3 linked regions of the Sus scrofa genome follow. The protein of the gene in region 3 interacts with the protein of the main gene of each other region in a pairwise test. Links are inferred from orthologs where the notes say so. Each region holds a gene or a part of one and is shown on either strand. Other genes may lie near its edges. The genes, in order: ZBTB44, FAM204A and SMYD1.

Region 1 (4,360 bases), on a different chromosome or scaffold from region 3:
TAGAATGTCCATAGTTTTGGGAAACACTTGGGGAAATACTGGAGTGTCTTGGTGTTTGCAATTTACTTTCAAATAGTTAGAGAGACACACAGAAAGGGAAGAGAGGTGGGGGGGTCAATACCACAAAAATGCTAATCACTGAATCTAAGTATTGGAGTATTCACTACATTTTCCCTTAATTTCCGAGAGACTGGTATTTTTCACATTAAGTTTTTTAAAAGTATTCCTATACTGAGAGGCACAGTAGAAAACATTTCTACAATGGAATTATATCTGGGGACAAATTTCACTTCTATTACTAACTAGTTGTGTGGCCTAAGGCAAAGTTACTTAAAATTACTTAAGTTTCTGTCTCATCTATAAAACTCAAGTAATAATGTCTAAGTCATTAGGTTGTTCTAAGAATCAAATCAGATCACATGTGTAAAATGCCTAGTAGTGTAGCACAGAAAAAGTAAACCTGGTTTGCCTATTTAATGCTATCATTCTAAAATACAGGGCTATAGGAAAACATTCCTTTCATTATCGCCACATTCCACGATAAAGATACATTAGGTAAAATTAAAAGTCCATTGGCAGTTAAAGCGAAGTGACGGGGGTAAGTAAATGCATAATGAAGATTTATATAATATTTTTTAAAATCCAGTAATTCCAACTGAGACCCTCTAGGCAAAAAAATCTACCTACCCAAACCATTCGTATCTATCAAATTGTGAAGTCTGCTTTTGGTATTAGCCTCTATCCGAATAAAACATTAAGAAAATAAGTGGAAGTTAGAGACTTTCTTCCTGACCAACTGATAATCTACTTATACGTTTTCTTAAAAAAACGAAGTTTTTGTCTTCATTTCTATAAGTTCCAATAAAGCACACAATTTTTGGGCTTTATCCTAAATTCTAGTTAAGCATCATACAACTCACAAGCATGCAGTTTCCTTTCATCAGTGCTAACGTAACTCGTCATGTCACTCGCAGGTAACCCTTTTCCGGCTAGGCCAGCAGAAAATGACTAGAAGCAGACCCATCCTCAGGTAGGGAAGAAAAAAACGTGGGTTTTTTTGTTTTGTTTTTTAAATAAGTGTCGCCCTTTTTTTCCCCACTATCAGAAAAAGAAGCAGGGGAGAGGAGGGAACAGTCGGATCTCGGGCTCCCGGCACGACCAGGTGGGACGCTGACACCCCGCCTCCTCGGGGTTAGGGTGCTGGGCACACGCGCGTGCACACTGGGGGCGCCCTGGGAGATCGGGGCAATTTCTCCTGGACGTCAGGGCCCAGGTTCAGTCTCCTCCCTAAAGGATTAGATACCATTGAGAGCACCCGATAGGGTTCTCCCGGTTCCTTACCGTCCAGCGCCCAGATGGGAGACGCACGGTGGCAGCCCTCGGCGGGCGCGCGCGGCGAAAAAGGGCCGGCCCCCGCCCTCCCCTTCCCTCTTCGTTACCTGCGGGCGGCGGTGCCAGGGCCCGGAGGCCTGCTGCTCCTCCTCCTCCTCCCCTCCAGGCTGTGGCGGCGAGGTGGCGGCGGCGGCGGCGGCCCGGGGGAGGGGGCGGAGCGCGCGGCTCGCAGCCTCTCTCCTCCCCCGGGAGGCGGAGGGGACCCTATCTCGGGCCGCCGCGCCTAGGCCCGTGGACGGCCTGCGGCTGGGGCATGGCGGCCCCGAGCAGCGGCGTGCCTGCGAGGTGGGGGGCGAGAGGCGGCGGGAGGGAAGAGCGCCGAGGGCCTGAGGGGAGGAGCGAGGGGGCCCCGCGAGCCGCGCGAGCGGCCGTTGGGGGCGGTTGGCCGAGGGCAAGCGGTTTGGGGAGCGCGGCGACGGCTCGCGTTTTCCTGGCGGGTCGGGGTGGGGAAGGGGAAGGGGAGTGAGGGGAGGGGAGGGGGAGGTTGGGAGGGAGCCGCCGCCGCGCGCGTGCGGGACGGCGCCGCCGCTGTTGCCGCTCGGCTCACTCCAGCCTGTTTGGGGGCACTTTGTTTGTGTCCCACAATGCTCTGCGCGGGCGGCCGGGCTGGGGAAGGGGAGGGCAAGTGGGCGGGGCGGAGCGAGCTCGGGGGCGGGGCGCGAGCGGGGAGACACGGGTATTGCGCAGCCGCAGAAAAGGCCGCTCCCAGTTCGGGGCTTGAACTGTGGGCGACTCGGCCTCCTGACACCCGCGGGTTTTGACACCGCTCGTGCATCTTTGCGTCTGTGCACACGTGCTGATTTACCGATACACACCGCCCAGACCCTGGCCAATTCGCTTTTCCTCTACCCGTCCAAAGCCGCCTTCCCGTTAGCCCTGACAAACATTTCTGGGCATGGTTCACGCTTCTTGTCTTTTTTTGTTTTCTTTGAACTAAAACCGAAAGAAACTCCTGTTTTCTCGAGTGGTTTCTGTAGCGGGGTTGAACCGGAACACCCCAGGCGCTTTCTCTTGGTGAGGGAGCTGAGCTGGTAGTGGGCCCATTTCTCGCACACGGAAACTGAGGCCTGCGGAGAGGCGGCCTTGACAGGTGAGGACGCTGAGCCCCGCTGGCTCCCACGCCCGCTTCCGCTGCAGGCAGCCGGTGTCCCGGTTGCCTGCGGCCTTTGCACCCCCGGCGTCATATTGGTGCCCGAGGATTTTTCTAGAACTTCCCTCCCTGGGCCACCTGGCGGGACGTGCGGTTCTGAAGTGACTGAAGGAATTCATCTCGTTCCCCCAAAATATGCCCGTTCCTTCCACAAGCTTGAATTTTTTTGGCTCTACCACCACTAACCTGGCTTTCCGGCGGGGAAGACTGTGGGGCGCCCCGAAGTGACTGGTACGGCCGGGAGGCGCTCTAGAGCTCTCGGTCCACTGCAAAATCATGTAAAGTGGTAAAATTCCTGGACCCCAAGTCTTAGCGTCCCGGGGCGGGCGGGCGAGCGCCCGGGACGGAGATCGGCGGGTAGAAGGGGCGCCAGGGCTGCGGGTACAAGCGCGCTCCAGGCAAGCCCGCCGGCCGCGCAGAGGTGGAGGGGGTGCGGCCTGCAGTGCCTCAGGCGCTCTGGGTTCGCATACTTTGTTTTCCCACGCCTCCAGCTTTTACACCGAAAGACTTCTCTCCAAAGGGCTTTGTGCAAGGTGAGCTGACATCCCGCCCGAAGTAGAGTGGAGATTTCTTTTGAAACACTTGGTAACGTCTTGCATTAATCTTTCCGAGAGACCAGCACCCTAGCACCCCCTCTTTCTAACCACTGAAACCCACTTTAAAAATAAAGGCCATAAAAACAACGTCTAATTTTATAGTCTTTTGCAGTTTCCAACTGCTTTTCCAGTATGTATGTCTAACGGCCACCGCAATTGTAGTACTAATAAGTTTTACCACTATTTCCACCATCATTTTATTATTCCCATTTCAGAGATCCAAGTCGGAACGATGTGAAAGAGGCCCAGAAAATTTTGTGCTGAAATTTGAAGAAGGAGAAAAAAAGAAGGTGGAATGCTTACCCTCGGCGGAAAACAGGAGCGACAGAGCAAGTCTCAGGAAGGCCTGAAGTCCTGGTGTTAGAGCAGGTGCACAGGTAACACCTGGAGAAGAATCAGGATGGGAATAAAGTCAAACAAATCGTGTCGACCTCTCCTAGGGTATTCAGTAGGACAGTCAATAAAAGACAACTGGTCAGGTCCTTACTACTCATTACCCAAGGGACTGAGGTGGCAACTTCCTTTCGTGGCAAGAGTAGCAGCCCTGGCCAAAAAAACAAAACAAAACAAAACCAGCTTTCTTTTTTAGTTTACTCTCTTTTCTCCCTTTCCTTCCCTTTTGTACTATTCTGATTTTCATTTTACACTTAAAAATTATCGGCCTCTCACTCCACCCCCACCCTGGGACTGGAAGATCAATTAACCACCAAATGGCTGTGGGGCCCTAAGGGCACAGTGCTAGATGCTTGGATAAGGTGTAAGAAGAAATACAAAGATTAACTTTGTTGTAGTCCTTTCCTCTGTTTTGGCTTTGGGTAGGGTTAGTTTCTGTGGCTTTTGCAGCCTCCCACTTTTTTCTTCCTGGACTAGTAGAGGCTTGCCCTTCAGTTGGTGGAATATATACACCTTTCTTTGACACTCGATTAAATAATACCACTGGGAGGATTTTCTGAAACCAGAATCCTGCATACAGGTGAAACAAACAAACGTAAAACAGTATGAGGAACCTTTAATTATTAACCTGGTGTAGGTGACGCTAAGGAATTCAAATTCCAGGCAAAGAGGGTTTTATTTCAGCCATAAATTTGGGGGACCAAATTCTGGCACAAATGCCACTTGCTTGTGTTAGAGCATTATAGCTGAGTGGGAACTTACTTAGTCCATAACTTATTTCAGAATAAGAATGCTTGACACTTAACTGCAAGATCTCTAGTCTGACTTG
Region 2 (3,094 bases), on a different chromosome or scaffold from region 3:
CCACCATGGCCAGGGAGCAGGCCGAAGAAGGGCGTCCACAGCAAGACCTGGGGTCGGGGGCTCCCAAATCAGACCCTACAGGAGGCCACTCCGGTAAGGCCTCAGCACGAGCAGAGTGGGGAGTTGTGCCTGGAGGGAGATGGGTGTCTGTGAGCCCTGTGCATGAGAATACGTTCATCACCCGCCAGCTCAAAGAGGATGTTTGGCAAGTTTTGGACAAAACCACGGGACTGTGTGGTGGATAGCTCCCCCATGAGAGATTTTTCAGAGGAACCTTCTCTATACTCTAAGTTTTTTTTTTTTTTTTTTTTTTTTGCTATTTCTTGGGCCGCTCCTGCGGCATATGGAGGTTCCCAGCCTAGGGGTCTAATCGGAGCTGCGGCCACCAGCCTACACCAGAGCCACAGCAACGCAGGATCTGAGCCGCGTCTGCAACCTACACCACAGCTCACAGCAACGCCAGATTGTTAACCCACTGAGCAAGGGCAGGGATCGAACCCGCAACCTCATGGTTCCTAGTCGGATTCGTTAACCACTGCGCCACGACGGGAACTCCTATACTCTAAGTTTTATTCACCTCTTAGGAGTGCAAAATAAGATGGTGCAGGTAAGTTGTGTATGATTATACCTACAGACCCCAACAAAGGAATGTTTAAGCAGAAATGTAAAGATTTCCCAATATTTGGTCTGAACATCTTTTCATGATGAATTAATTCTATAAGCAGATACACTATCTCCTAAAATCTTGCCTTCTTTATTACATGATATGATTTTTGCTCTCTTGAATAGCAACTAGTTGCTGACTTAGTCCAAAACAAAGGAAAAAACCCCATTAAATATGTCATCATAATTAGTAAAATTTGGTTATTAATTGTAAGTCTAAAAGTAACAAAATACTACTACTAATAATATAATTACAATCATGACTCATCTTCTATGTTCCTGAATTCATATTATTAGCCTAGAGAAAGTCTGTATTAGATGGCTAGAAAACCTCTGATGAAGGGAAGTGAATTAATGAAAACCCACCAAAAGCAGTTCTTTCCCTCTGCTGAGCACCAAGAAGGAGGTGTCAGAACACCAAAGACCTGCCCAAAAAATCACAACTTCCAGCCGTGGTCTCGTCCACCAGCTTGTGACATGATTTCTCAAAGCACACTTCTGATGAAAACTACTTCTCAGGGAAGCAATCCCCTTCATCATTCATTCATTCATTCATTCAATCTTTCCAGGATTAATGGGGAAGAGGAGTAAAAACAATCAAGCCAACGTTCTTAGAAGTTCAAAGTTACACTGTCTTGAGTTATAACTAACAATATCACACCAATTTCTCCTCTAAGAACCATCTCATAATTTAAATGACAGAGGCGAGAGAGAGATTTAAGAAGACATTTCCAGGCAGAGAACTGGAATTTAAATCATCCTTCAAACACTACATTCTGTCATTTCTTAAAACTGTGATACTTAATCTGAAAGTACACAGAAATTAATCAATTGCTTTTATTATGTGACTGTGAAATATCAATGCTACTGCCTCTAATAAAGAATCAATAATTACTTTGATAACATTAAGATAATTAAAGTTGTTTGTAAAGTGACTTACAAATTGGAAAAGTCTCATTATCAATTGAGACTTTCTTGCACTTATGACTAATCCATTACAAACAAATGACAATCTTAAAAACTCCAGAATAACTCCAGAATGAGTGTAGTTACACTGAGTACAGATAAGAAAGCACGAGGAGCTCTTTGGCTATGCTACACCAAATGGATGAAAAGTAAAATTGATTTTATCCTGGAGGTCCAGATAAACAAAGAAATAAAATCCTATCTTTTCCCTCCATATGTATGCTTAAATTTCCTGTACAAATAACAGAATTCTCCATGTCATTTACTTCAATAGGATGAACTCTTTAGAAAAAGACTGAAAAAGATTTGATAATCAACTCCCAAATGTTATGCTTATTTTTTCTACTTCCATCAATTTCCTGATATAGTTAACAGAAGCAGGAAAATTTTTTTCAGTCAATTGAGCAACTGAAGATTCAAGGGAGAAGTCTTGAAGGTCTTGAGGAATTCTGACAAGTCACATATACCCCATGTTACTTTTGGTTTCCCACCTCTTCTTTGCTTCAAACCTAAAAGGAAGAACATGAACATCTCAATTGATTGCTAAATACTTTCCTAAAGTCACATGTTTACTAAGCACCAAAGTAAAAGTAAAAAGTTTTCAGATGGTCCATCAACCAAGGATGAGGAGATGTCTCCATATGTATAACCTGATAAACATTCAGCAAAGATACAAAGAATAAAATGAGTAACAATGACAAAAACGGATTCCCAAAATGTATCACAGGATTTCCATAATTTAGTTAGTAGAATTACCAAAAAACAAAACAAACCAAAAAACCAAAACCCCCCACAAAACCCTTAAACTTACCCCCAGGCAAGTTTCTTCTTTTTTCGAGCAACCTGTGAATTTTCAGCATCTTTTTTGGCTTTCACAAAGTTGTGGCAGGCAATTGCTTTGGCAATTTTTACACCAAGCTAGCAATCACAAAGGAGACAAAGTCGAGATGAATATTCCAGCTAGTGTAAGAATGACAATGGTAGAATACTCGAGAATTTGTGGGGGAAGAAAGCCAGTCTACATTGCTTTAGACATGCTAAGAAGAGACATTCTTATGATCAGCCCCCTCCCCCAAACCACCAAAAGGAGTGCAAAGACAGCCCCAATTCCCCTCCCCTCCCCTCTGGCAGGCCTTGTCCCCAGTTGGACCAGTCTCCCAGACGGAGATCCTGCCCACACGAAGGCCCTCGAGGGTCCGCGGGGCGGAGGATGAAGATCCTGAAGCTATTTCAGCCTTTCAGGAGACCAGACAGGAATTTACCCGATAAGGCTGCGCAGGCTGACAGAGACATCAAGTTTCTTTGCTCGGGGCTGGAATTACGGCAACTGAGTATGGGCACACCCGTTATCTCACGCTGATCACAAGCTCGGACTGGCAGTCACAGATGTGATTAATAAAACATGGAAAGCTAATTACTACTTCATAAACATACCTTGTGTGATGGGCAATAGCTTTTCACTCAC
Region 3 (4,124 bases):
AGATGCAATTTGGTTGAAGGCACATTAGAATCGCTAGTGTATCTGGATGGTTTAGGGAAGATAAAGTGACTGAATACATAAAATATGGAAAAAGTCCCATTCAAAGTGCCGAAAGGTATGCTACTTCCTTGGTGCCTATTACTTCATTTACCAGTGAAACTATCCCCCTTGTTTTGTAACTAGGATATCAAAGTTGTCCCTGTAGGCTCAAAATTTAAATGCAGATTTAGCTGACACAGAAGCCAGCACTTACAAGCTACTGCACTCACAGAAATCCAGAGCACAGAAATCTGTAAATAGATGCATCCCAGAAACTAAAAATATTACCTGAAAGGTAAGCCACAGCTCCAGATCTGCAAGAGTCTTTCTTTTCAACCTCAGTGAGAGCTGCCTGGCCTTCAAGACAAGTGGCTTTTAGTTCAAGGGAGATTTTGCAATAATCCATCCAATATCCAATTACTATTTTTCTGGCAACAAACACATGTTTAAGGGAGATTTGATAGCCTGAGAGACAGGAGAGTGTTCATTGTCAAGGCCTGCCTGCTCTCATAATATAGCTTTCATCTAGCACATACGTGTTATCAGGGAATTCTCAGTCCTCCAGGCCCTGGATGGAGGTGCTGTGGGAGGCCCAGGTTATACTGGGGAAGAGGGATGCCCATTAGAACCTAAACGTACTGTTATGCACATAGCCCAGAGGCCACTTTTGCATCTGCTGCTTTCTGCAAACAGTCCACCCATGTGGATTTGCTCTGGTGCCTGGGGCGGGGGCGGGCGGGGGGGGGGGAACAAGGGGCCCGTCTCACTTGAGAAAGTCCAAGCCTGACAGCTGAAGGGTCCCAGAACAGTAAGCATCACCTCGCCTCTTCTCTTGGACCACTTCAGCTGTCTGCTTTGGATTGACACAGGCATCTGGCTGCTAAAAATACCCGACTGACCAAGTGCCGCCTATTCCAACTCAAGCTGAGCATGACTGCCATCCAGGACTTAACTACCCTTGCAAAAGAACTTTTCAAAAGTTTTCAGACCCAATATGAGAAGCACACCAACCCATAATCATTTTCTATGTTGTCGGTTACATTGGGCGGTGCGAGGGACCCTTCCCAGATCACTGGCCTCTGGCTTGCCCCATCCCTGTCTCCAAGAATAGAGGCAGAGGGGGAGGTGGGGACCCAGTGGCTGAGAGGGGGTAGGGAAGGGGAGGTGCTTGTCCATTTATAGGCTTGCTCTTTGGGATGCTGAAGGTGCTGAAATAGCAGCGAGGACAAGGGACTTGGCTCAGTGTTAAATATCTGCCGAGCTGCCCTAAGATTCTGAGATGACAATAGAGAGAATGGAGAATGTGGAGGTCATTACTTCTGAGGGCAAAGGCAGAGGTCTGAAGGCCACCAAGGAGTTCTGGGCTGCTGATGTCATCTTCGCTGAGCGGGCTTACTCTGCCGTGGTTTTTGACAGGTACAGAATGTGGGTGGTTGCCCTCTTTTCTCCTGTTGGTTTGGCTGTTGCCACATTCTCAAATATTTTGCTCTCAAAATCATCAGAGCAAGGGATAAAATCCATGGGGCCATTGATAAGGAATGGCATTCCAACAGCTAACTGTTTTCTTGTGTAACTTTTCCTGCAAAGAGTCACTGCCAGTGGGATTTGCTCTGGTGCCTGGGGTGGGGTTGCAAAGGTGATCAAAGGCTTGGGGGCAAGTGCTCAGAGCACTGGTGAACTTGGCTGAGTGGGAGTGCTGTGTGTGGTGAGGTTGGAGAGAAAGGGAGAGGTGGGTGTGGTGCCTTGAAATCTTTTCCAGAGGGCTCCATGTTTTTTAGCTTCTGAGATAAAATAAACATATTAGAGAAGTAAGTGAGTCCTGGGATTTTAAAAACATGTAAATATGCAAGTACTCCTGGAGTCCATTTGCTTTTGAAAATAGGAGTATCACCCATGAACGGGAATCCTCTTTTACCTTTCCCACCCAGAAACCCAGTCCCCTCTGTCTTTCCTCAGAGGTAATCCTTCTTGTGATTTTAATGATTCTTTCTAGAATATTCTTGTTCTATTGCATCTATCTGTCTATATCTGTACTTACCAAATATATAGCTGTAATTTGTCTTTTTTTAACAGAAATGTTATCATACTTCAGACATCATTCTGAAACATACTGTTTTCACTAAGCATGTTTTGATACTTATCCATGTGGAAACTGTAAGTTTATAGACACTTCTTTTAAATCGTCAAAGATCTGTTTTTTCCTCCCACGTGTAGATCTATCCATGTTGATCCATACGCTCTATGGATCACAAATTTTAACTTCTGTAGATATTCTTCCCTGTAAATATATGGTCTTTAAGAAATCTGTTGCCCTATTGAGAAACATTTGGTGGTCTCCATTTTTTTTCATAAAAACAAATATTTCTGCAGTTAAAATCCTCGATCATGTCCACTTGTACTCATGCGTGATAATTCTCTAGGATGAATGGCTAAAAGAGGAATCACTCTGCCATAGGGTGTACTTTTTTCCATTTTAATAGGATCTCCTTAGTGGGTCTGTTAAATTTACATTCTCATTTCCTCACAATCCTGTCCATCCTTGACCCAAACTTTCAAATTAGTACTAAATCTCTATTTTTCTTTTTTTTTTTTTTAGAAAAAACCTTATACTGTGATGAAATTATAACAGTATTCTCAAAAGTTGGGGTGGCCTGCCTGACATTGATGTAGTCTCAATAAAGATGGCCTCTGATCTTGGCTTCGTGACCATCCTGAGAATGGGCAAAGGTTTTCAGAGATAATTTGAGCAGCATTTGAATTCTCATTTCTTCCTACCTATGAAGACCTTCAGGGAGAAGGCAGCTGATACCAGCTGAGGAATATAAAGCAGCTGAGAGGACAGTAATACCTCTTGGGGGAGTGGGTCTTACCTTATTTATTTATTTATTTTCATCTTTTTAGGGCTGCACCCATGGCATATGGAAGTTCCCAGACCAGGGGTCCAATCGGAGCTGCAGCTGCCAGCCTATAGCCACAGCCACAGCAACGCCAGATCAGAGCAGCATCTGCGAATCTACAGTGCAGCTCACAGCAATGCTGGATCCTTAACCCACTGAGCAGGGCCAGGGATTGACCCTGCATCCTCATGAATCTTAGTCAGATTTTTTTTTTTTTTTTTTTTTTACCACTGAGACGCAATGGGAACTCTGGGTCTTACTTTGTTAATGTAATTGTGTGTGTGTGTATGTGTGTGTGTGTGCGTGTGTCTGTTGGGGGTGGATGAGGAGTTAGTGGCATCCAAAATTAAGACATAAAAAGCTGGAAACACAGGGTAGTTCCCATTGTGGCTCAGTAGTAAGGAACCTGCCTAATGCCATGAGGATTCGGGTTCTATCTCTGGCCTCACTCAGTGGGTAAAGGATCCGGTGTTGCTGTGAACTGTGGTGTAAGTTGCAGATGTGGCTCGGGTCTGGTGTTGTTGTGGCTGTGGTGTAGCCTGGCAGCTGCAGCTCCGATTTGACCCCTGGTCTGGGAACTTCCATGTGCCACATGGCCCTAAAAAGGAAAAGGAAAAAAAAATCTAGAAACACAGGAACCCTGAATAATCTTGGTGCTGCCACTGAGTTGCCACCTTGCCTTTTAAAGAACCTCCATGGGTTTCTGCAATTCCCTAAAAGCCAATATGGCCAATCAGTTTCTCCTTCACGACGGTTTGGAGTTGAGTGGGTTTTCCCTTCATTATAAAAGTCAAATTTAGGAAGAAAAAAAGGTATCTTCACACCAAGATAACTCAACCTTGTTGATTGTCTCCTGCTTATTTTACAACACAGGGTTCATTTGTTTGTACTACAGGCTTGTATATTATTATATATAAACTACCATTTTTTTAATGGCTGCACCTGCAGTATATGGAAGTTACCCAGGCCAGGGATCAAACCTGTGCTTCCCCAGAGACTAGAGCCACTGCAGTTGGATTCCTAACTGACTGTGCCACAGTGAGAACTCCAAACTATCATGGGTTTTTCATTTAATGATTTAGATGTCTTCTGTGTCACTACACTCTCTTCATGAATGTAGTACTTAACAGCTGCAAGTTCTCCGACCACTCCTTTGTGACTGTACATTTTGTTTACATGTTTTTCTTA

What was found.
Region 1: the proteins of SMYD1 (region 3) and ZBTB44 interact in binary tests that used the Homo sapiens proteins (3 or more experiments, as listed by UniProt). The link is inferred for Sus scrofa from reciprocal best matches to the Homo sapiens genes SMYD1 and ZBTB44.
Region 2: the proteins of SMYD1 (region 3) and FAM204A interact in binary tests that used the Homo sapiens proteins (3 or more experiments, as listed by UniProt). The link is inferred for Sus scrofa from reciprocal best matches to the Homo sapiens genes SMYD1 and FAM204A.

Annotation. Positions count from the first base shown.
Region 1 is NC_010451.4:57,015,857-57,020,216, forward strand, and holds the start of ZBTB44 (zinc finger and BTB domain-containing protein 44), read right to left. Parts: upstream 2,948-4,360; 5' UTR 2,729-2,947; intron 1,969-2,728; exon of another isoform or gene 1,678-1,968; coding exon of another isoform or gene 1,349-1,677; exon of another isoform or gene 1,342-1,348; intron 952-1,341; coding exon of another isoform or gene 925-951; intron 1-924. Other genes in the region: proline-rich protein 18-like, read left to right, coding at 925-951, 1,349-1,677, 3,354-3,402. UniProt on the Homo sapiens protein: May be involved in transcriptional regulation.
Region 2 is NC_010456.5:128,365,598-128,368,691, forward strand, and holds the end of FAM204A (protein FAM204A), read right to left. Parts: intron 2,548-3,094; coding exon 2,441-2,547; intron 2,139-2,440; coding exon 2,087-2,138; 3' UTR 555-2,086; downstream 1-554.
Region 3 is NC_010445.4:57,915,677-57,919,800, reverse strand, and holds the start of SMYD1 (histone-lysine N-methyltransferase SMYD1), read left to right. Parts: upstream 1-1,224; 5' UTR 1,225-1,318; coding exon 1,319-1,455; intron 1,456-4,124. UniProt on the Homo sapiens protein: Methylates histone H3 at 'Lys-4' (H3K4me), seems able to perform both mono-, di-, and trimethylation. Acts as a transcriptional repressor. Essential for cardiomyocyte differentiation and cardiac morphogenesis.